Cricetulus griseus: one gene and its partners. The protein of the gene in region 2 purifies or fractionates together with the protein of the main gene of each other region. This does not show direct contact. Links are inferred from orthologs where the notes say so. Each region holds a gene or a part of one and is shown on either strand. Other genes may lie near its edges.

Evidence for each region. The genes of interacting proteins can lie anywhere in the genome.
Region 1: the proteins of Suv39h1 (region 2) and Cbx1 purify together in Homo sapiens (affinity purification with mass spectrometry; 3 studies listed by BioGRID and IntAct, with this or other methods). This does not show direct contact. The link is inferred for Cricetulus griseus from reciprocal best matches to the Homo sapiens genes SUV39H1 and CBX1.
Region 3: the proteins of Suv39h1 (region 2) and Mecom purify together in Homo sapiens (affinity purification with western blotting; 3 studies listed by BioGRID). This does not show direct contact. The link is inferred for Cricetulus griseus from reciprocal best matches to the Homo sapiens genes SUV39H1 and MECOM.
Region 4: the proteins of Suv39h1 (region 2) and Ehmt1 purify together in Homo sapiens (co-immunoprecipitation; 3 studies listed by BioGRID and IntAct, with this or other methods). This does not show direct contact. The link is inferred for Cricetulus griseus from reciprocal best matches to the Homo sapiens genes SUV39H1 and EHMT1.

What each region holds. Positions count from the first base shown.
Region 1 is NC_048600.1:109,950,194-109,956,345, forward strand, and holds part of Cbx1 (chromobox protein homolog 1), read left to right. Parts: intron 1-2,517; 5' UTR 2,518-2,554; coding exon 2,555-2,694; intron 2,695-3,188; coding exon 3,189-3,366; intron 3,367-4,454; coding exon 4,455-4,549; intron 4,550-6,152. UniProt on the Homo sapiens protein: Component of heterochromatin. Recognizes and binds histone H3 tails methylated at 'Lys-9', leading to epigenetic repression. Interaction with lamin B receptor (LBR) can contribute to the association of the heterochromatin with the inner nuclear membrane.
Region 2 is NC_048604.1:114,534,478-114,540,629, reverse strand, and holds part of Suv39h1 (histone-lysine N-methyltransferase SUV39H1), read left to right. Parts: exon of another isoform or gene 1-804; coding exon 805-965; intron 966-1,055; exon of another isoform or gene 1,056-1,204; intron 1,205-2,164; coding exon 2,165-2,827; intron 2,828-3,044; exon of another isoform or gene 3,045-5,901; intron 5,902-6,152. UniProt on the Homo sapiens protein: Histone methyltransferase that specifically trimethylates 'Lys-9' of histone H3 using monomethylated H3 'Lys-9' as substrate. Also weakly methylates histone H1 (in vitro).
Region 3 is NW_023276806.1:118,566,906-118,573,057, reverse strand, and holds part of Mecom (histone-lysine N-methyltransferase MECOM), read left to right. Parts: intron 1-2,836; coding exon 2,837-3,006; intron 3,007-4,774; coding exon 4,775-4,919; intron 4,920-6,152.
Region 4 is NC_048599.1:136,126,478-136,132,629, reverse strand, and holds the end of Ehmt1 (histone-lysine N-methyltransferase EHMT1), read left to right. Parts: intron 1-3,033; coding exon 3,034-3,209; intron 3,210-3,389; coding exon 3,390-3,570; 3' UTR 3,571-4,685; downstream 4,686-6,152. UniProt on the Homo sapiens protein: Histone methyltransferase that specifically mono- and dimethylates 'Lys-9' of histone H3 (H3K9me1 and H3K9me2, respectively) in euchromatin.

The sequences.
Region 1 (6,152 bases), on a different chromosome or scaffold from region 2:
TTTTAAGGCTTTGGGCACTTTCTCCATTCAAGGTATTCTGAACACTTTATAGTATGCTACCCAAGAGTGTTTAGGGAACCTGGATATAGCTCTGGCCTGTCAGAGGTGTGGTGGTACACACCTTTAATCCCAACACTGGAGAGGCAGATATCTGTGAGTTTGAGGCTAGCCTCGTCTACAGAGTGAGTTCCAGGACAGCCAAGGCTACACAGAGAAGGGGGCGGGGGCTAGAACATCAGAACTGAATGGATTAAAAGGTAAGAGGTTTACAGGGAACTAAAGTTTATATGCTAGAATATTTCAGGGACTTTCTGATTTAGGGTATTGTGTAGACAAAGATAAACCTTGAACCCCTTGATTCTCCTGCTAGGATCACAAGCATTCGTGCGCCACCATGCCCGGTTTTTAGGGGTCAAATGCAAGGCTTCATTTGTGTGAGACAAGCTCTCCACCAACTGACCTGTATCCCCAGCCGTATTTGGGGTTTTCATCAAACAAAACCAACTTCCAACATGAAAGAACAAGTTTCACCCATATATAATTCTATGTGTGGATGTGTGTTGGAGCATTTTTTAGACTTGTGTGGTTATTGCTTTTAATTATTTCGTGTGCATTGGTGTTTTGCCTGCATGTATGTCTGTGTGAGAGTGTCCGATCCTAAGGAACTGGAGTTATGGTTGAGAGCTGCCATGTGGGTGCTGAGAATTGAACCCAGGTCCTCTAGAAGAGCAGCCAGTGCTCCCAACTGCTGAGCCATCTCTCCATTCAGAAGCATGTTTTAGAAAAGAATAAACTCAGGACCTGCACTTGGCCTTGAGTACTAAAGTCAGGTGGCCTTGAGTTTATGTGGAACCCATAGGAAGGTGGAAGGAGAGAACTAGCTGCACAAAGTTGTCCTGCCCAAAAGAAGACAAACTTTACTACATCTCTGATGGCTACCTTCCTCTTTTCCCCCTGCTCATTTTCTAAGTTATTACAGTACTCCAGCTTAAATAGTTAATCTGGTGCTTCTTCTAAGCAGTCTTGAGGCTTAGAAATAAAGTAAACTAAGTCAAATAATAGTGATTTATGGGCAAGGGCTGTAGCATAGTACCTAGCATTCTTGAAACCCAAGGTTTAATTCCTAGTACTACCAAAGGGAAAAATGGGAGTTGGCTGGAGTTGTAGCACAGTTGGTAGAGTAGTCTCTTGCCTTGTATATTATACAAAGCCCTGTGTTCAGTCTTTTAGCACTACTGGGGGGAAGAGACAAGAGGGTCAGAAGATCAAGTTCATCCTCTGCTACATCATGTGAGGTAGCTTAGCCAAGCCCGAGACCCACATGGAGCTGACTCCCACAAATTGTCCCGTGACCTCCGTGACACCCAAACTTAGACTACATGAGTAAATGCAGTAAAAGAATTTTTAAAGTTTGAGCTGTGAATTTATGATGTCATTCAAGAAAAGCAAAGTGAAAAATAAAGGGACTTTTTAGCTGGACATGGTAGCATACATCTATGATCCCATTACTTAAAAGATAGAGACCAGATCAGGGATTCAAAGCCATCCTGAGCTATATGAGACTGTGAAGGCTGGGCGGTGGTGGTGGCACATGCCTTTACTCCCAGCACTCGGGAGACAGAGGCAGGAAGATCTCTGTGAGTTCGACCCACACATTGTAGTATCACCTATAATTCCATCACATAGAAAGCTGAGGACAGGACTGGAGAGATGGCTCAGAGGTTAAGAGCACTGGCTGCTCTTCCAGAGGTCCTGAGTTCAATTCCCAGCAACCACATAGGTCACAACCATCTGTAGAGATCTGGTGCCCTTTTCGGGCCTGCAGACATACATGCAGACAGAACACTGCATGCACAACAAATAAGTAAATAAATAAATAAATAAATAAATAAATCTTTAAAAAAAAAAAAGGAAAGAAAGCTGAGGACACCTTGGGCTTCTTAATAAGTCCTTGTCCAAAGGGAAAGAAATTTGCTGTGAGATTAATAATCATGGCTAGGGGTTAGAAAGATGGATCTGCAGTTAAGAGCATTGACTGCCCTTCCAGAGGACCCAGCATCCACATGGTAGCTCACAACTGTCTGTAACTCCAGTTTCTGGGGACTTGACACCCATGGCAAAACACCAATGCACATTTTTAAAAATGAATTAAAATAATAATTGTGCTTTTAAAAAAATAATCGTGCCGAGTGGAGGCAGCAGCATGGGCCTTTAATCCCAGCACTCAGGAGACAGAGGAGGCGGATCTCTGTGAGTTCAAGACCAGCCTGGTCTACAAGAGCTAGTTCCAGGACAACCTCCATAGCCACAGGGAAACCCTGTCTCAACCCCCCCCCCCAAAAAAAAAAAAATATAGCTAACTTGCTAGCTAACGTGGAAACGTGGTTGTGAACTGGAGATAAGTAGAGCATTATACATAAGCAGTGTACATCATCTGTGATTTCCCTTACCATCCAGATATTTATCTGACCAGTAAATGTGCCTTGATGCCCTTTTTATTTTCTTTTGTCATTTTAGCAGCGTCACTCTTTACACCGGAAAGCTGGCGGGTACTATGGGGAAAAAACAGAACAAGAAGAAAGTGGAGGAGGTTCTAGAAGAAGAGGAAGAGGAATATGTGGTGGAAAAAGTTCTTGATCGACGAGTTGTCAAGGGCAAAGTGGAATATCTTCTAAAGTGGAAGGGTTTCTCAGAGTAAGTTTCATTGGCACAGGTAAATTCAGTCCTTATGCTTGATACCTGTTCTGTGATGGGTATACCTGGGGTCAGTCCTGACCTCCACAGCTGATAGTCTACTGAGGAAGGACCTACATGCAGAATACTGCGATATATGGCAGCATTTTGTTTTGTGTATGTGGCATGTGTGGCCTTAAGTCCTGGGATGAAAGTCAGGTCTTCAGGCTTGCCAGATGTCTCCTTTTTCCCATTGAGCTATCTCACCAGTCCACAACAGTGATTTCTGAGGAGCAATTTGTATAAGATAGTCCACCTCTGCAAAGTAGTTTTTCCTTGAAGAAGACAAGTTTCTAAGCCTTTGGTCTTTACCATCCCCTGCTAGGAAACTTCTTAATTTTGAACAAAAATCTAGCTGTTCCTTATCATTTAACTCTCTTCCAAGACTACCTCCTCTCTTAGTTACAAATGTTGACTTGAGTGGAAGTGTAACTTGCTGTGATTGCTGGTTTCAGTGAGGACAATACATGGGAGCCAGAAGAGAACCTGGATTGCCCTGACCTTATTGCTGAGTTTCTACAATCACAGAAAACAGCCCATGAGACAGATAAATCAGAGGGAGGCAAGCGCAAAGCCGATTCTGATTCTGATGATAAGGGAGAGGAAAGCAAACCAAAGAAGAAGAAAGAAGAGGTGAGAAACTTAGGACAAGGATTTAAGTATTGGGCTTACAATTATGAGCTACGATACTTGAACTTCTTCCTCTGAATCTCAGCAGTTATGTCCTCTGTCCTTCGGAAATAAACTAATGTTTTTAAAAGATTTGGAAGTCAACCATGTGCACACCTGTAATCCTAGCAGAAGGATCAGGTATAAGAGACCTTGACTACAGGAGACCTTGTCTCATTGAAACATAACAAAACCAAAAAAAAAAAAAAAAAAAAAGGATTTGGGACTTATTCCTGTAAAGTGATCTAATCTTTTTATCTATGGTGCAAGAATGATGGGATAGCCGGGTGTTGGTGGCACATGCCTTTAGTCCCAGCACTTGGGAAGCAGAGGCAGGGGGATCTCTGTGAGTTCCAGGACAGCCAGGACTGTTACACAGAGAAACACTGTCTTGAAAATCCAAAAAAAAAAAAGCACTGACTAGCTGCTCTACCAGAGGTCCTGAGTTCCATTCCCAGCAACCACATGGTGGCTCTGTAATGAGATCTGATGCCCTCTTCTGGCATAAAGGATGTAACAGTTACTGGAGACACATGACAGCAACTGAATTTGTTTCCTGTCAGTAGATTGCTGTCAATAGATTGCTTTTAGTTTTTTGTTTGTTTGTTTGTTTTTTAGATTTATTAAGTATACAGTGTTCTGCCAGCATGTGTGCCTGCAGGCCAGAAGAGGCACCAAATCTTATTACAGATGGTTGTGAGCCACCATGTGGTTGCTGAGAATTGAACTCAGGACCTCTGGAAGAGCAGTCAGTGCTCTTAACCTCTGAGCCATCTCTCCAGCCCACTTTCAGTGTTTTGATCATTACAGATTTGAAGTAGCTGTTTTGTCTTACTTAGTATCTTAATTAATTTACCTTTGAAGAGACAGCATGAACATTTCTTTTGCTTGGGGTGTGTGTCCCATTCATGCCAGGGGTACCTCATGGTGTGGGAAGCAGAGGAAACCTTTAGTGAATGTTTGTGATTACATTTCTTAGAAACACAGCAATAACTTCATTCTGGATATAGTCCTATGCCAATAAAATTGTTCTGTCCTTCTGGTTTTTACAGTCAGAAAAGCCACGAGGCTTTGCCAGGGGTTTGGAGCCTGAACGGATTATTGGAGCTACTGACTCCAGTGGAGAACTCATGTTCCTGATGAAATGGTGAGTCTGCCAGTGGCTCTGTGTGGTTGTTTCTTCCCTTCTCCATCTGTTCTATGCCAGAGGAAAAGAGCTGCACCTTCGAAATTCCAGTCGCCAGGTGTGAATCTTTAAGATGACATAGTCCTTCGATAGTGATCCTCGGCATGACTACAAACCTGGACTCATGAGTTACAGGTAGGGGCCCTTAGGATTTTCAGATCTCTGATTTTTTTTTTTTTTTTTTTTTCTTTTTCTTTTGGTAGGTGGGAGAGACTATGGAGAGGAATCACATTTCAGTTCTGTTGAGTAAAGAAAAAAATTCTGAGATGTGATTGGATTGAATTTCCCTCCTTCTCTGCCACCTTCTTAGTAAAGATCAGGCCGGCCCCAAAAACAGGATTCTGTTCATGTTTGAGGGTAGGAAAGAATTTATAGAATTTATTTTTAAATTTCAAAATTAGCCAGCAGGGGTCAGCAAGGCCTCTACTGTTTACTGTTACTGAGCATAATGTAAGCTTGCCTCTTTCTATTAAAAATACTAGTGGTAACAATGTAGACTTGTTCTAAATAGAAACAGTGGGTGGTGTTTGTTAGCACTAGGCAGCATCACCTGCTGAACATGCTTGTACTTGCTGTATTTTTGTGTGCTGCCAGCACAGTAGGTTTCTATGACTGGCATGCACCACGGCATCACTCGGTAATGGCCAGATAATGTTCTGGCCAGAACATTATCAAGCAGTACATGGCAGTACTTTCAAACAGTTTAATGAAGAGTTCAAGTTAGTAAAAGTAATTATCTTTGTTTTTTTATTGTTTTGAGACAGTTTTACTCTAGCCTAGGCTTGCCTTGAACTTGAAATCCTCCTGCCCCAGACTCTGTGCTGAGATTACAGGGACATGCCACCATGATGGACTAGGAAGAGTAAGTGTTAAGCCATTGCCAGTTAAAATAGGATTGTCAAGTCTTTGTCCTTTGATTGGTCTAGAAATTTCTCTGAAACTAGTATCTATGGTAGTTCTTCCCTAGATAATGGCTGGAGTAAGTTCAATGCAGGTGAATGCCTGTGTCACAATGAACTAACCACCTATTTTCTTCTGTGTGTTCCTCCAGTCTTTATTGATTCGGACCCTCTTCTAACTTACAGGAGAAAAGAAAAACTGAATAAATAGTAGTATGTGTTAAGTAGTCTAGTTAGGATACACTTGTTCTGTATATCACTAGTGTGAGTTACAGTAGTATCTCCGTATTTTGAAGGGTTGCATTCTTGGTTAGGTATGGTTTTGCACACTTAGAATCCCAGCACTCATATAAAATGAAAGTATCACAAGTTAGAAGCAAACACACACACACAAGCCATTTGTAATAGCCCATATCTGTAATTGCAGCACTAGAGGTTACTGGGAATATAGAGTAAGACTTTGCCTTAAATAACAAAACAAGGATAAAAAGAAGTCTAGGGGATTAATTGTCTTACTACTATATCTAAAGTTAAGATTTGGATGTTGGAAGCCAGGTGTTGGTGATTTTGGTGACACAAGCCTTTAATCCTGGCACTCGGGAGGCAGGAGGATCTCTCTGAGTTCGAGACCAGCCTGATCTACAAGAGCTAGTTCCAGAACAAGC
Region 2 (6,152 bases):
GTAGAAAATTCAGGCTTTTGCTGTAGATATGTGTGCTGTTAATGTGTTTGATTATGGATGGCTTGATGTCCCAGACTTTGCTGTTAATGTGTCTAAAAATTACATTTTTTTTTTTGGTTTTTCGAGATAGGGTTTTTCTTTAGCCTTTTGGAACCTGTTCTGGAACTTGCCCTGTAGATCAAGCTGGCCTCAAACTCACAGAGATCCACCTGTCTCTGTCTCCGGAGTGCTGGGATTAAAGACGTGCACCCCCGCCGCCGGGTCTAAAATTACATTTTTTAAAAATCCCCATTTTTTTAAAATTCCGAAATACACAGGAGTTTCAGCTAAGTGATTGAAGACCAGGCTTCAGAGTTAACACCTCTGTTTGGTACCCTGGGGATTTTCATCCTCCCCCCACACACCTTTAGGGCATGCACCCTATGGAGCTAGGAAGCTGTTGTCTTTCTTTTGCAAAGTGGATAGAGAGGTGATTAGGTCTTGAACTTGAAGCAAGTCTGCAGGCAGTTTAAGTTCTGGGAGTGTTTAGATCCCTTTACATGCAGTCCATGCCACAAGATCCATTTACAGCCTTGCTGTTCCAGGGTTAGGGGGCAGGCTTTGGATTAGAAGATTGGATGGGTCCTCTCTCATAGGAGAACTGGACTCTTTGGTGTCAGGGAAAGAAGGGTGTGGTGACTGCATTGTGGGCAGGCTCCTCTCCAGGAGTTTCCCTGGGTATTAGGCTTCAAGGAATTGACATGGTCCTGTTGTAGAGGGTCTTAGCTTTGGTTAAGGCCTGATTAAATTTTGTGTGATTCCTAGGCCTTCTCATTCCAGGCTGCAGAGTATGTTGCAAATCATCCTGGAATCAGCTTCAGGATCTGTGCCGACTGGCCAAGCTTTCTTGTCCCGCCCTTGGCGTTTCTAAGAAGAATCTTTATGACTTTGAAGTCGAGTACCTGTGTGATTATAAGAAGATCCGTGTAAGTCTGGTGGGGATGTGTGAGACTGCCCTGGCAGGGGACCCTCTTCCCCACCCAACCCCCACATCTCTTTACAAAGAGGATTTTCACCTGGGGTAAAATGGGATGAATTGACTGTCTTATTTCCATTTTACAGGCAAGGAAATCAAGTAGCTTTCTCAGAAATATAGGCAGAATGAATCCTCAAAGAATGTCTTTTCCACTTGTACTTGCGGGATACAAAGATTGAGATTCTGAACCTAGGAGTGAAAGTAAAGATGACAATACTTAGTATGCACACTAGAAACTTTTTAAACTCTGATAATGCAAGATGATACAGTAACTGTTAACTGCCAGAAAAGGTTATGCGGTATTAGAGCCCACTGAAAGCAACTTGGTTAGTTGAAATGTAGTCTTCATTTTCCCTGTCTGTAAAATGGGGAGGACTGGAGTTGTAAGAATTCTAGGGTGTGTCAGTTGCTCAGGAAAATACCTGCTACATAGCGAGTGCTACAAAAAAATATTAACTGTTTTTCCTTTTCTCTTTTTCTTTATTTTTAGACAGGGTTTTGCTATGTTGTAAAGACTGTTCCTAAACGCAGAATCCTTCTGCCTCAGTTTACTGATGGCATTATAGATATGTGTATATTTTATGTATATAATCCTCCTCCCACTTATATATTTTCTTCTTTACAGATGAGGTAACAGACATGGCATGCTTTATTTGCCTAAGGCAACATAGCCAGGAAGCTACAGATTGCCATTTTAAACTCTGTCCTATGGCTGACTCCCAGCAATTAAAGCTCCCCCTCCCCTGGCACTGTGCAGAAAACTGAAACAGTGAGGGTAAAAACAGGGGGATCAGTAGAGGCACCTACCAGAGGACTGACTGGCTGCAGTGGCAATGTTTTAATGCAGTAAAGGGGTCAGATTCTGAGTGTATTTATTGGGGAGTGTGAGCAAAAGAGGAACCAAGAATAACTACAGGGTTTTGGGCCTGAACAGATCATTGGAATATAGAGGAGGAAGTGGTCTTGGGGGGTTGAAAAGTAGGAATTTCAACAGATAATAAGAGGGTGAGTGGAAGTTGGATTTAGTAATTTTTACTCCAGAGGCACTGCATGGAACCATTCTAGAGTAGTGTGGGGTGGGGTGAATGTTCTCTGTTGCCACAAGGGTCTCAAATTTATGGTACCCTTCTGTCCCTGTCCTCTTAACAGGAGCAAGAGTACTACCTGGTTAAGTGGCGTGGATATCCCGACTCAGAAAACACTTGGGAGCCACGGCAGAATCTCAAGTGTGTGCGCATTCTCAAGCAGTTCCACAAGGACTTAGAAAGAGAGCTTCTCCGGCGGCACCGCCGGTCAAAGCCACCCAGGCATCTGGACCCAAACTTAGCTAACTACCTGGTGCAGAAGGCCAAGCAGAGGCGGGCACTGCAGCGCTGGGAGCAAGAGCTCAATGCCAAGCGCAGCCACCTGGGACGCATCACTGTGGAGAATGAGGTAGACCTGGATGGCCCTCCACGGTCCTTTGTCTATATCAATGAGTATCGTGTTGGTGAGGGCATCACCCTCAACCAGGTGGCTGTTGGCTGTGAGTGCCAGGACTGTCTGTTGGCACCCACTGGAGGCTGTTGCCCTGGAGCATCCCTGCACAAGTTTGCCTACAATGACCAAGGCCAAGTGCGGCTGAAAGCTGGTCAGCCCATCTACGAGTGTAACTCCCGATGTTGCTGTGGCTATGATTGCCCTAACCGTGTAGTCCAGAAAGGCATCCGCTACGACCTCTGCATCTTCCGTACTAATGATGGGCGAGGCTGGGGTGTCCGCACGCTGGAAAAGATCCGCAAAAATAGCTTTGTTATGGAGTATGTGGGAGAGGTGAGGAGATGGGTCTGGGTATGTGTGCAGCTTTTCCCACTATGTGTTTGTAGTGTTTGTGCCTAAACCATGTTCCTAAAACTCTGTTTTCCTTGTGAGAAAAGTCTAAGGTGTTGGTCTGAGTGTCATAGGAACATCATAGCAGGGGTCAGCAATTTTACTTGATACATCAGCAGGACCATGCTGGTAGTTAAAAGAACACTGAAGTACTTCTCACCTCAACTGGCTTCATGAGGGCATACAGCAAAGAAAGTGGGACCCGAGCTTCAGGTGGCAAACCTTTCCAAAGCTATGCGGTCTGGGCATAGGGTTGCATCACCTGAAAAGGCAAGTTCTCTCCTCATTTTGAGATAGGGTCATTGTATCACAAACAGTAAATCTAAAGTAGCATGTAGGCTCAACTTGGATGGAGGTTTGGCAAGATCCTCTAGACCAGTGGTTCTCAACCTGTGGGTTGCAACCCCTGGGGTTTTCACAGGGGTCACCTAAGATCATCAGAAAACAGATATTTATATTACAATTCATTTACATTACAATTCATAACAGTGGCAAAATGACAAGTAGCAATGAAAATAATTTTATGGTTGGGGGGTCACCACAGCATGAGGAATGGTATTAAAAGGTAGCAGTAGTACAAAGGTTGAGAAGCACTGAACTAGATTTTTAGGTTACCCTGGGGAAAAGCTGGATGGCACATGATGCAGGCTAGCTTTTTTAAAATCAATAATCCCCAGATCTTTGTAACTTAACACATTAGGAGTTAGTATACATTGTTTTTAGGCAGAATCTCCCTCTGTAGCATAGGTTGGCTTTGAGCTCACAGTCCTCCAGTGCTAGGATTACAAGCATGTGCCACCATGCCTTGTCTAGGTTTACCTGGTTTGTAAACACCCTAGTATATGTGTTTTGGTGGATCTCCTGTTCACATACTGACTTCTGCCCCTAGGATTTTATCCCCCTTTTGTGCCTTTCTTGTACCTTAGGGCCTTCAGGTCACTGTCACATCCTCAACATTTTTTTTTGGTTTTTTTTTTTGGTTTTTTTTTTGAGACAGGGTTTCTCTGTGTAGCTTTGGAGGCTGTCCTGGAACTCACTTTGTAGACCAGGCTGGCCTCGAACTCACAGAGATCCACCTGCCTCTGCCTCCAGAGTGCTGGGATTAAAGGTGTGTGTCACCAACGCCTGGCTGCCCAGCATGTTCTTTGTGTAGACAAATCTCACTGTTTGAGAGATTTAGCTTCCCTGGATCTTGATTGTTTAAATGTGTGTTTTGTCATGATATAGTCTATGTATTTTCATAGATTCCCTCTAGATGTTATTTGCTTGGAAAGTGACAGTAACTGGCCAGAGGGCACATCAGAGGATGTCCACTTGTAGCAGCAACACTGGTGACTAGGAGAGGCTTCTGCTCTTTTTTTCTCTTTTGGTTTTTTGAGACAGGGTTTCTCTGTGTATTTCAGGCTGGCCTCAACCTAGCCTGGCTCTGCCTCCCGAGTGCTGGGATTAAAGGTACTCCACCACTACCCTGCGAGCTTCCACTCTTATGACCTGAAGGAAGCTTGAGCTTGCCACACTCCAGAAGTGTCTTCACCTCAGAGTGATTTGGATAGTTTGGAATATAGACATCTTTCTAGAAGATCCCAATCAGGAAGCTAGTCAGTATAATTCTATTGCCCAAGGTAGAAGAAAAGCCCTCTATACACACAGGATCTTATAGGAAGCAGCACCTATACCCCACAGGAAGGCTCAATCTTTTGAATGTAGTGTTCTTGCCCCTTCACTATGGAAGTAGCAGGGCTTCCAGGAGTCCTCTCATCTCTTCCTTACCTTTCCCTCTGTCATCCATTCTTTCCATATTGTTTCTTGACCACTGTCTTGCCATGGTCTACCTGCTTAGATCCAGGCATTCTAGTACCCTCAGACCTGTGAATCCTTCTGATGGTGTTGGTCCCTCAAAGATTGCGAGGCAGTAAGTATAGTAGAGCCGATAGAAGCTGATCCTTGCCAGCCTGCCCGAGGTTGATCCCAGCCCTACCACTCAGCAGCAGTCACTTCATGTCCCTCTTGGTTTCCTAACCTGGAAAAGAGGAAAGGTTTTGGTAGTTCCTCCGTGTGAAGCACTTGGAAGAAGCACTTCAACAGTACTTGTTAGTGCTTTAGTCTAAAACTCAGACAATCCAAATTGCTCAAAAAGTAAAGGATGTTATTTTGCTTTTAATAACCTAATCTAATGTACTGTTTTTGTTCTGGGGTTGAATATTCATATATTTAATCAGAGAAATATTAATTTACTTAATTATGGGACTGTCTAGATGCTCCTGAGGTGTTATTATTGTAGCCCCACCCCCATAGAATGCAGGGCCTCCCTTATGCTAGGTAGTACTTTGCCATTGAGCCACATCCTAACCTGCAAGGTGCTATGTAATTAATTCAAAGTATCATTCTCAATCTTGGATGCCAATCTTTCAGGCCACTGACAGTTTGTAACAATAGCTCCTGCTCCTTTGGACCTTTCCTTGTTTGTTCCAGATTTTCATGTTTCCACAGATTATTTCTAGCCTCATCAGGCAGAGAATACATGCATTCTCTGTATTTTACCATCTCTGGAATGGAGGTGAGTTTTAATTGGTTAAATGGTAGTAATGAGCACATAAAGAAAGGGTGAACCTTAGATTTCAACAAGGTAATGGTACTCAACCAGTCATTACAAAACATTTCTTCACACACATGCACTTTTGTTTGTTTGGGTTTTTTTTCTTGGTTTGGTTTTTCGAGACAGGGTTTTTCTGTGTAGCTTTGTGGACCAGGCTGGCCTCCCGCCTGCCTCTGCCTCCCGAGTGCTGGGATTAAAGGTGTGTACCACCACTACTGAGCCTGCACTTGTGATTTTACAACAGCCCCTAAATTGAGACTTTGCTGCTGATGTTCCCAGTATATAGATGAGAAAATAGAGGCCCAGAGGTGTCATGCAAGAACTTAGGTCAGGTTACAAAGCTAGTAAAGTGAAGTAGGTAGGAAGCGCCTATTTAAACCTGGTGCTTTGACAGGCCTACTTGTTTTTTTTTTTTTTCTTCTCAAAAAACAGGCTCAGAGAAATAACACGGGGGGGGGGGGGGTTGCGTAACCACTGACTCAAGTTTCTTATTTCTCATCCACATCAGGAGCCTTTTTAAGGTGCCAACTCCTAGGCTGTCTTTTCCCTGACAGTTTGGAGAGCTACTAGAGAAGAGGGATGAGTTTTCAGGGTGGGACATCACAGAAAGGGAGGGGAAGAAGAGAGGACCGTTGAGGCCTGGAGGGTATGACTCATCTTGGTGAGACTGGG
Region 3 (6,152 bases), on a different chromosome or scaffold from region 2:
CAGGCCATATATGACTGCAATAGCTGTGCTTACAACACAATGAAATTATGAACATGGCTACTTTTAAAATGTAACTTATTATTTAAGTGTAATACTTTGCCCTCAGCATTAGAATCCAAGTTAGGCTTTCTCCAAGAGTGAATTTATCTCAAGCAACATTATAGTTTGTTTCTCCTCTGAAATTCTTAAGTGTGTATTAGTATAATTGTTTTGGCCTGAACACTATTATTTTCCTTACAATAAATTATCTTGTTTCAAAGTTGTTTGTAAGCAAAATAGGGGAGATGGCTCAGCAGCTTGCTGTAAGACAGTTCACAATTCCTGTAATTTCATTTCAGAGGGATTTGATGCCTCAGGACTCCCCAGCCACTTTTACTCACATGTACATATCCACCCTCCCATATTACATATAATGAAAAATGTGCATCTTAAAAGGGGAGCGAATGAAAACATGGAAAGACCTATGATTATTCAAAAAATAATAGTTTTGGGAGAAACTCAGAAAATTAGCGTTTTCTTAAGTCCCTTTGTTTCTACTCATAAATGTCACTTCACTTTATATGTGACGAGATGAACTTTACATAACAGATCTTTAAGAGATAGAATGATGGAAAACATTAGGTAAATTCCCCCTTGGAGAATATTCTATCACCTAGGAATTTTGCTTAAATGGAAAGGTTTCCATATTCACATTTTCTTACAGCTGAATGTTGTCCCAGTCTACAGCTATGACATCATGGTCCTTCAATTTGGTGCTGAATGAAACACCCTTATTCTGCTTCATACATATTGCTGTTGCTGTACATGTATTTAAAAGTATACAAGCTGGTATTTGCATTGCTGGGAATCTTGATTTGCCCAGATCTTCTATTTTACAAATGGAGAAAAATAAGAAATCAGATCTTTAGATGCTAACTGCTTTCTATGAAGTTTAGTGCCCAGGCTGGACTTTTCACTTTGGATCTTTCACCTCACATCAGATTTCAAAGCTTTTTTGTCTCCTATGTCTTCATGTTGTTATGAAGGGTTACAATTAGGTTATGCATGCATCTTAAAAATTCTTGAACCTTGATTTGAGCTGTCATTTAAATACCAGATAATATATTGGAATAGAATAAAGTTACTTTAAAATTTAGCGTACTTGCCTCTCTATTCAATATGCTTACAAGAAAGAGAATCAAAATGCTAGCTGATCGTGGGGAGACACTGATCTTTATTGGTCAACTCTTTCTAAAGCTGAGATGATGATGGAGTAGATTTGGAAAAGACCTTTCACACAAAAGAAGCATGGGGGCATGTGAAACTCTAACTCTTTCTCCATTGTGATTCATGTAGTCTGTGTCATGAGCAGAACATTTCAGACCTTTATTAGCCTTTGCATTTTCTCTGCCAGGCTCTTGAATGTGCTTTACTTAGTATAACATGGTTGTGCTAAGCGCACAAGATTTCTCTCTGCACTGTGCCTTTGAGATAAAAGTATTGCAGGGAAAGCCATTATTCCATAAGCATTTTTTCTATGATGACAACAAAATGGAATAACCCTTGTCACAGTGGATTTCACTCCTTTTTATTACTATTATCAGCCAGAAATGTTAAAGAACATTATGATGCAGAAGTTGTCCCTTCCAATCAAGGACTCTCGAGTTGACTCATTGATACCATGCCAAAGTAACTAGTTCGACAGATTTTAATTTCCACTGACCTGACTAGATTTCTGACATCACAACGGAAGCAGGAAGGGCCGAATACTTGGATTTGGATGAATGGGGTGACTTCTAATGTAGAGCACTTGAGCTAAAATCTGTATTGAGACTCAGGGCAGGAGAAGGACCCATCACGCATGGAAGTACAACTGAAGGATTTTCTGGCTTTGAAGTTGAACAGTTTTACCTAGAAGCAATTCAGAAAAGTCAGGTTATTTTCTTTTAACATATCATGTACACACACACACACACACACACACACACACACACACACACACACCTCAAAAATATGATAGTCTCCTTCAAGTGCTGTGAAATAACTCCATTAATTACAAAACCACTCCCATTCTCAGAAAAGAGCTGGGGTAGCCTGGTCTCCAAGTTTTACATTTTCATTTTATGAATAAAGGAAAAATTTTAGATAACTTAGGGTTTTTAATTGTATCAAATCAGAAACACTTACCTAATGCACAATGAGCCATTTCTAAGGAAACTGACCTTCAGAGTTGCAGTCAGCTTTTTAATAGACATCAGAATGAAAAACTGGGGGAAGTTGAGAGCAGGCAGTTAGTGAAGACCTTTGTTTTCTTCCATGAGGACTTAATAGTGTCAGAACTTGCTTTTGTAACAGTTTGATTATTAAGTGAGACTCTGGGATTCCCAGTCACTATAGGTTAAGAAAAAACCACTCTCTTCAGCACCAAACACATTTTTTTACATTGCCTCAGTTTTTAAAAATTGGAGTATTTTGTACCACTAAGGAAAAAATGATGGAATTTTCTTTATAGTTGCCATCAGGAGAGGTAAATGTGCTAAGAAATTGGTTAGACTTTTAATATACACTTGCAAATATTCAATTGTGTTGTATTAAGCAGAATGTAAGACAATGCTATCACTTTGTGATATATTTAGTTTTAGTGAGATTTATTTAAAGCATTGGAACTCAGTATTCTAATAAATTAGAGAGCGGTGAAACCACCCCCAAACAAAACGAAACAAAACTACTGGAATTGCAGTATTCCTATACGAATAGTGTTTTCCTATGTGAAGTGTTATTTTAATGTTCAGGTCCACAAGTCTTAGGAAATATCTTCTAATGTGTTTGTGATACTGTGTCTGTATTTACTTTCCAGATGCAAATACTGTGATAGATCATTCAGCATTTCCTCCAATCTGCAGCGACATGTCCGCAACATCCACAACAAGGAGAAACCATTTAAGTGTCACTTATGTGATAGATGTTTTGGTCAACAAACCAATCTTGACAGACACCTAAAGAAACATGAGAATGGAAACATGTCTGGTGGGTCCTCAGTGGTGCTATGGGGGGAAAAATGGCTTGTGTTTTGTATTTTGGCATATAATCGTGCTCTTTCGTCTTCCATCCCATTTCAACACTAAAATCTGATAGTACTCTGGAAGTTCATACCACATCTCCCTTGAGTTTGAGAACCATGTGAATGAGGCAATCACTAATGAATGAGAATGTGAGACTCTGTGGTCTTGTTTAGGTTAGATTTCCATCCAGCTGGATTTATCTCAACAGGCAATCTCAAGCAGAGACAGCCATGACCTAGACTGCACAGATATGAGTCAGAATTTCCTAAATTGCAAAGAATTCTCTTTCCATCTATTCACAGAATATGTATTCTAAGAGTGGCAAATCCCTGACTATTAACCTAGAAATCATGGTCTCAGGTATAACTTTATATAAGACTAGGGATTGGAAGTGAACATGATCAGAGCAGCTTACAAAGGATGCACAGATCTTGTGGTTCCATCCCTAAATGTTATCTAATAAAATCAAATAGATGACAACCTCATCCCAGTCCCCAGACTTCCTTGATGGCAAACCTGACAACATGTACTTAATAGAAGGGATTCTATATCTTTTCTTTGCTTTTGAAAGTTCGACGACCAACCAAGAACTGAATTTGTCTGCTGGGGTATATGTACAGAGATAACCTGTACAATTAGGATGATGGTGGGCAAGTACTGAGTTCAAGGAAGGGGACTTCAGAGAAGGAAAAGGAAACAGATCTGGAAAGCCAAATCATTTTTCTTGAATAAATTACTTTGTTGATCCTTTTTTTGGCTGTAAGCAGCATTGTGTGTGATCTTGAATGGTAACATGTACACTATTCATCTTCCTCAATCCCAAAAATCCAATCCTGGTTTTTAAGTGTTGGATTTTAAGCCTAGAAGTTTAGTCCAATGATGAAAGCATAGAAAATATTCTATGTGCCAAATATCCTATATTATGTAATCAATATTATTTCAGAAAAATAGAAAGTTAGAAAATACATCTAGTTGGGGGTCCAAGAATATAGTTCAGTGGTAGAGCAGTTACTTGGCATGTACTGGTTTTTGAATTTGATTCCCAATATCGGGAAAAATAAATTTGTCAAAGTTGAATGCTTATTTTTAACCAGATAATTTCATTAAGATGGGAAAGTACTAGCTCCATGTTTTTGCTATATGGATGGTAATAATGAACTATTAAATTGTAGATATATTGTGGGAATACCTAAGTAGTATAAAGCCTGTGTTTACATAAGATGTGGCAATATATTAAGTACTTACAATGGTGTGAATTTATGTAAACCAATATAGCAGTTCTATGACACAGGTATCATGACTTTAATTTGCAAGGAAGCTGAAGACCATCTTATAGAAGGCAGATCCTTTATTGGCCTCTTCATGCTAAACCAGCCTCTGGGTTGTTTCTGAGTCTGCTCACAACCCCTTGTAACAAATGAAGGTATAAAATGCTAGGTGTGAGTCCGTAAATAAGATTTCTATAATTTCTTACCCTGTCTTCTTATATGAATGAAAATACTCCCATGCTCCAGAAAGATAAGAACAAGCAGGTTGAAAGAAATGACAACCTTGATAGTCTGTGATTCTTGGTCTTGGTGTCCAGACTCATGAGCTTGCACTACAATTTGGAGTTGCTTGTATTCCCATTGCAAAGGGCAAGTTTTGAGACATAGCACTCCTCTGGTTTATAAGGAAGGAAGTGATAAGGAATGAACAATGATCTTCTCACAAAGGCTTTCTTTCCCACCCAGGTACAGCAACATCTTCACCTCATTCAGAACTAGAAAGCACAGGTGCAATCCTGGATGACAAAGAAGATGCTTACTTCACAGAGATCCGGAATTTCATTGGAAATAGCAACCATGGTAGTCAGTCTCCTCGGAACATGGATGAGAGGTACAGCAGCTCTTGCACACATTTCTGCACTCATGTGCTGGTACTATTGCTGATGCTGGTGATTGGAGTTTATTTGAATGCATAGCTAACAGTTATGTAATATGTTACATGTACTAGTTAACAAGTTACTATTTTTCTTCATCATATGTGCATTGTGTAAATCTGTGTATGTTTACATGTGTATTGGTACCCATGCACTTGTGTGTAGAAGCTATGGAAGCCTGAGGTTGAAGTCAAGCACCTTCCCCAATCATTCTTCTACCTTATTCTTTGAAGCAAGCTCCCTCAGTCATATTGATATTCAGAGATATTGCTAGTTTTGATAGCCAGCTTGCTCCCAGCATCCTTTGTCTTTCTTGTGAGGATGGAATTATTGGTGGACCACCATGTCCACCCAGCATTTATGTGGGTTTTGGGGACCCTGTCTTCTTGCTTGGGCAGCAAGTGCTTTAAGTGCTGAGCCATCTCTTCAGCTCCATATTACTTAATTTAATTTTCACAATGACCTCATGAAAGTGACTGCAACTTTATCAGAAAAGAATGGTGATATCAAAGGTTAATAACTTGCCAGAAGCCATGTAAATAATTGATGAGATGTAACCTGGCCTATTTGTTTTGCAGCCCATTTTACTACCAGGCAGTTCTGCTTACCTTGGCAGCTAAATCAAAATTTCAAAAGCCAGAAGGAAATTCACCAGAAGGATTCATTATTGGTTATTACTATATTTAATATGCTATTAATAGATAACTCATGACACAATGTGTGTCTCCATCTTGTCTTTCTCTCTATCTCTTTACATATCAGTATCACTTTGTATATGAAGTAACATTGATTAGTTCAATATGTTTGCACAAAAGCTGTTTGAGAACTTTTCAATTCAGAGCCAATTATTCCTCTTGAACTCTCAAACAGGCAGAGGTGTTGGCTTTAGTGGACATGTCTGTCTATCTATCTATCTACGTATGTTCTGAAATTTATTGATGAAGTTTCTATGATTTTAATGTGTCACTGTCTTTAGTTTCTTTTGCATGTAAAAGCCAAGACTAATCACCAGGGAAACACACTTCAGATAATAAATGTTCTAACTTCACAATAACAGCAAAACAAACAACTGCCCCTGCTGTTTATTTTGTGTAACCATAGCTAGGGCAAGGAGAGAGAATAAGCATGTTAGGCATCTATGAAGTTGTAAGAACAACAGCATCTCCTAGTTGGATGTATCATTCCTTCCA
Region 4 (6,152 bases), on a different chromosome or scaffold from region 2:
ATGTGCAGCTATGTTAATGTTTTAGTTAATTCAGATTTGGAAATTGAAGAATATGTGTTTTTGTCAGGCATGGCAACACATGTGTCTGTACCATCTCAGCACCTGTGCTGAAGGCAGTCTGGGCTCACATAGTAAAATATTCTCTCAAAATATATTTTTAAAACTGTTACGTTCATGGCATTTGGAGGTCAGAGGACAACTGCAAGAGTTGGTTCTTCCCTCCACCATGTGGGTCTTACAGATCAAACTCAGGTTGTTAGGATTGGTGGCAGGTGCCTTTCTTTACCTTAAACATAATAACTCCCCAAAATAAAATGACTTTTTTGTTTGTGCTGTGGTGCTGGAAGACTGAACCAGGATTTCATACATGCTAGCTAGGCATTTTATCAGACTTTTCATTATGCAAAAGACTTGTGTGTTCTAAAAGTAGAAACCATATTAAAGTCTTCTCAGGGATGTTGTGCTTCTTTGCATGTTCTGTGTTCTGTTAATGGATATTGGATTTTTCTCTGGCTGCTGTCACAAACACTGACACCCACATACCCTGTTCCTCACAGCTCTCATGTTGGTGAAGGCCATCTCTTGGTTCATAGCCAGTGCCTTTGCACTGTGTCCTTGTGAGTAGGAGCTCTCTGGAGTCTCTCTTGTGAGTGCACTCATTCCACACAGGCTTTGCCCTCAGCTGTGGTCACCACCCTAATGCCCCATCTCTCAGCCCTACTGATTGTCACTGTGAGGTGAGGATTTCAAATAATTGGCTTTAAAGAGGGATTGACACTTTAGTCATGATACTCTTCCCCCTGTTCCCCAACAGGAGACCATTTGTAGAAATAAAGGAACTTATTTCTTTGTTGTTTATGCAGAAAGTGGCGTAGTTTCTGTACCCTGCCTCTCTCTTGCCAGTATAGTACAGAAGTCATCAGCACAGGGTCTCTCTTAGTCTTTTGGGGCATCAAGGTTGATTTCATCTTTGCTACTTTTGCAGTTGGCATCTCAGTGAGTTCGCCTGCCTATGGGTCTTGCTCCTTTTTGCAGAGGAAGGTTACATAGTCAGTAGAACCTCATTAGAATCCCACTTGATTCTTTATTACTTCCTTTCCTTTGCCCATACTTTACACTCCTCTGTAGTGATTGTATTCTGAAATGTTGCTGTTTTATGCTGTATAGAAAGAAGAACATAAGCATTTCCTGTAATGCCTTCCCCCATGTAGCATTTGGTTTGTCTCAGGCTAGACTTCTTAATCTTTACTTATTTATTTTTAAAGATTTTATGTACACAGTCACAGTGTCTGCACACCAGAACAGGGCACTAGATCTCATTATAGATGGTTGTGAGCCACTATGTGGTTGCTGGGAATTGAACTCAGGACCTCTAGAGGAACAGTCAGTGCTCTTAACCTTTGAGCCATCTCTTCAGCCCCTATTTATTTTGAGACAGGATCTCACTATGTAGCTCTGGTTGTCCTGTTTAGGACAATCGCTATTTAGGACAATTGACTATTTAGATCAGGCTGGCCTCAAACTCAATGGTCTCTCTCTGCTTCCTGGGTGTGTGCCACCATGCCTGGCTCATTTTTATTATTAGGGGGTGGGCATTCAAGATAGTGTTACTCTGTGTAGCTCTAGCTGTGCTGGAACTCAGTAAACCAGGCTGGCCTTGAACTCAGAGATATGACTGCCTTTGCATTGGTAGAATCAAAGGCATGCACCACCATACCTGGTACTCATTTGTATGCTTAAATGTTAACTGTTCCCCCTGCCCCTCAAAGTGGGCATGTTTTCTGATTTTTTTTTTAAAAGCCTAGTTTCAGATTTAGGCTCTGCTATTGATGTACAGTTCTGGTCTCTATCCAATTGTCTGTTTCTTACAGTCAGCTTGATCTTCTTTCAATATGGGCCAGGTCAGCCAGAGGTTTCAGTGTGTAGACTGGCTCCCACCCCAGAATCCCAAGGATTCTTTGCCTGTGGACTCTCCATCTCTTAGTACCTTTAGCATGTGTACTGCCTGCTTTTAGGGTTGTTTTCTTTAGAGGCTTGCATTATATAGCTTCCTAGGCAATCACCACATTGCAGAGTCACAGGAGTCTTCCATTATTGTCTTTATGGCAGATATAGGACATAGGTTGCTCTGTCTTTGATCTGGTTGTTTGTCCCTATCCACCACTCTATTTCCTGCAGGTCCTGAAGTTACAAAGTGAAGGTTGTCAGATACCCATCTCAGACCCAGGCATTCCCATTACTGGTTTGTGTTTCGACCTTTGCCTGAATTCTGAGTGTGTTCATAGGGCAAGCCCAGGTTGTCTGGAGCAGGCTCTTGTTTGGGCCTTTTCTTCACAGAGTTATCCCAGCATACCTGGCTTTCCTCCCTAACTCTCCTCGCTAATATTCTGTGGCTATGTAACAGTATTACCCAAGCACCACAACTTAGGATGGCCTGTAACCACAGTTCTGGATGTCCAGTGTGGCCAGTCCCAGACCTGCCCATTTCATCCTGGGCAGCTCCTTGGAATTATGTACAACAGTTTCCAGGTCTTTTCTGCATGTCAGGCATGCCCTCTGCAGCAAAGACCTCCTTTGCCATGAAGTAGGCATCATACCACATCAGTTTCTCAGACATAGGAGCTCTGTGAGACAATTGTTTAAACGGCTCAAGAGTTAGCACAGCACACTCAGCGTGTCTTGATCCCACAGTCCCTGTCTGCTGGGAAACAACCACAGAATCTGGGCAGAGCTGTGGGACAGGGACACTTAGAAACCTGTACTCCTCTGTGTAGCTACACCTCTGTGTCCCTGGTTAGCATGGTGCTCCTACCTCTGATACTACAGGATTTAGTGTAGCACGACCTATGGCAGAAGTCTGCTTTGCTGAGCCTGAGTTGTCACTGGACCACAGAAGCAAGTTCTTCAGTCCCAGCAGAGCCACGACTAAGCTCCAGATTTTCACGACTACAGTGCTGGTTTCTAGGGTAAGGACATGTCCTGGATTGCTTACTGGCTGCAACATATCATGGACTCTCACTTTCTCCCCCAAAGGATGGAGAGGTATACTGCATTGATGCTCGGTTCTATGGGAATGTTAGCCGGTTCATAAACCACCACTGCGAGCCCAACCTTGTGCCTGTGCGCGTGTTCATGTCACACCAGGACCTGCGGTTTCCCAGGATCGCCTTCTTCAGTACTCGCCTGATCCAGGCTGGGGAGCAGCTGGGGTAAGTACAGACCCAGGCACAGTGTGACCCTGGCTGGGTGGGTAGGGTTGCTGCATTCCTAGCCATGCATGTGCTTCAAACATGAAGGGTTCTGGGCCTCGATGGGTTAGCTTGGGGCACTTGGATATCCTACCAACCCCTGTGTGCAACACACAGAAGTACTGAGTTCTACTTCCTCAGGTTCGACTACGGGGAACGCTTTTGGGACGTCAAGGGCAAGCTTTTCAGTTGCCGGTGTGGGTCTCCCAAGTGTCGGCACTCAAGCGCAGCCCTGGCCCAGCGGCAAGCCAGTGCAGCCCAGGAGGCTCATGAGAATGGCCTTCCAGATACCAGCTCTGCAGCTGCTGCCGACCCTCTATGAATTGCCGGTGGGGCCGGCGGGACCTTCCAAATCATATTTTGGTGACTGCAATTTAGAGAGGAAAATCTGCACAAGATGTCCAAGAGGAGCTGGAGGTGTGGACACCTCCCAGGGAATGTTCTGGTCCTGAGGCGTTTCAGCTGGCCCAGTGCTCAGGCCAGAGCACTCCTCTGGCCTGCACCTCGAGACCTGACTCCATGTTGTATAACTTGTGAGTTCCTGGTGGTGGCTCTGTCGCTGCAGTGCTTCCCATTTCTCCTGGTCTCTGAGGCCCTCGCTCCACTGCCAGGTTTGTTTCGTATACTGTCTGATCAGGCTACTATAAGGCACTCACCAAGGCCACCGTCACCTACAAGCTGCTCCGTTAGACCTGCTGCCCACAGCCTGTGTTGCTGGCACCAACTCCCAGGTGCCATCCGAGGACACTAGCTCCCTTACAGCCGTGGAGAGGTTGGCCGACCCACCACTCACTTTGATGAAATGTGGGTTCGCTTTTTAAAGAAATCCTATATCTAGCCCTATATATCAAGCCTCTTACTGGTGTTTCTTTGCGAGGAAGCAGGTTGGTGATGCAGGCAGACCCTGCACCAGCCCCAGCCAGTTCCGTTGACGCAGGCACCTTTTGTTGATTTTTAAGCCACATGCTATGATGATGAATAAACTTGTTTGTTTTCTACCATTACCGAACATTAGGACAAACAAAGAATAAAAACACAAAACACAGACAACGGTGCTGAATCTGGTGTGGTTTCTACTCACCACGTGAAAATAAACTATCAACTGTAAAAAGAGAACAAAATGATTTTAGAATAAAGTGCAGGAAAACTTTTTTAAAATGTTAGTCTTGTAGTTGAATAAATTTGCCGTCACCTTTTGTGTGATGGCCTGGCAGGTCATGTACTTTTTTTTGGCATATACCTTTCTAAATACTGTAATTAGTGCAGCGACAGTGGGGGTTTTTTTTGTGTGTGTGACTCTTCTAAAACATTCATAATGCAGTCATGTTTATTTTTTTCTGTTAAAATGTTTTTTGACAGTTTTAAGAGCAGTCTTTTGGCTCAGACCATTTCTTGTTCTGTTTTCAATGAAATCAATAAAAAAGTACTTTAAATGGAGTTTTCATTATGATACATTCTTTCTCCTTACCTCTGCAAATCCCTAGCCCTTCTACACTGGGTACTATACTCAGGGTTTCTGGAGGTCTGCCAGGCCCATAGTCACACACAAGGCTGGAGGGCTGCATGTGTGTTCATGTGTTTGGTGTCCAGTGTCCAAGTTTGAAAGCCATTCTGACTGCTGTTGGAGCAGGTGAGTCCTTATATGTGACAGTTTTCATCAGGGCACAGCGAGGGTGGAGGAGGCAAAGCTGGAGCTCTTTCCTCCCTGCTGACAAGTGATGCCTTCCCTAGGGAGCCCAGATACCAGTGCCTTTTTGTGCTCCATGGTAGTCTGGCATTGTTCACTATGGGAGAGCTTGTAAACTCAATGAAAAATTGATCAAAGGCTCTATCTTTGAGTGTGTGGAGCTCATTCAGTCAGGCCTTTTCTCAAAGGGAGACAACTGTTTCAGCTGTATAAATGATCCAGTAGGGTGCCTGGGCCCACATGCTGTACAGCCTGTGGCCCTTGCATCACTACTGGCAACAGCTGTGGGATTGCTATGGGCAGATGGGATAGTGGTAGATCCCAGGAAAGGCCAGTTTCACTTCTCCCAAAAGAACTTGGGTCTTCGCCCTTAACTGCTCTGAGGAAGAGTTGTGCTATGAAGAAGCCCCCTCCTCAGTCTCCTTTGCCTGTTTCTATGCAAATACTACACCTACATACCACATCTGTCAGGGAAGAGGTGTCCATGTTGCTAAAATTCAATCTCTGTGGTGTTGGGTGTGCTTCATGCAGCATTTACTCAATACCTAAACTTTTGCTGGTGAACATGGACCTGTTTCCAAGGTCCCACTCATAGAAACTATGCAGCAAAGAAAACTTCTGGACATTGCCTTTTTTACTTGTCATGTTCTTGAATAAGGGTATCTTAGTTAGGGTTTCTGTTACTGTGAAGAGACACTGTGACCATGGCAACTCTGACAAGGGAAAGCATTTCTTTGGAGCTGGCCTACAGGTTCAGAGGTTTAGTGCATTATCATTTGGAGAAACATGGCAAAATTCAGACTTGGTGCTGAAGAAGTAGCTGAGAGTTCTACATCTGGATCGGCAGACAGCCAGAAGAGAGAGTGACACCAGGCCTGGCTGGAGCATTGGAAACCTCAAAGCACACTGCACAGTGACACACTTCCTCCAACAAGGCCACACCTCCCAATCCTTTCAAATAGTGCCATTTCCTATGAGCCTATGGGGCCATTTTCATTCAAACCATCACAAGGGGATAAGGACGTATGCGTTGTATTGTGCTAGGAAATGAAGCCAAAGAATGCCAAAACCTGTCACAAGTTTCAAGGACTGAACATATCCTGTGAAGTCCAGCCAAAGGCTTGGTGGGCACCGAAGATCTCTTGATTGGGAATCCCCTACTTCTGCATATGCATCTACAGTTTAGAATTTCTGCCTAGCTAGTGAGGTGCTTCTAT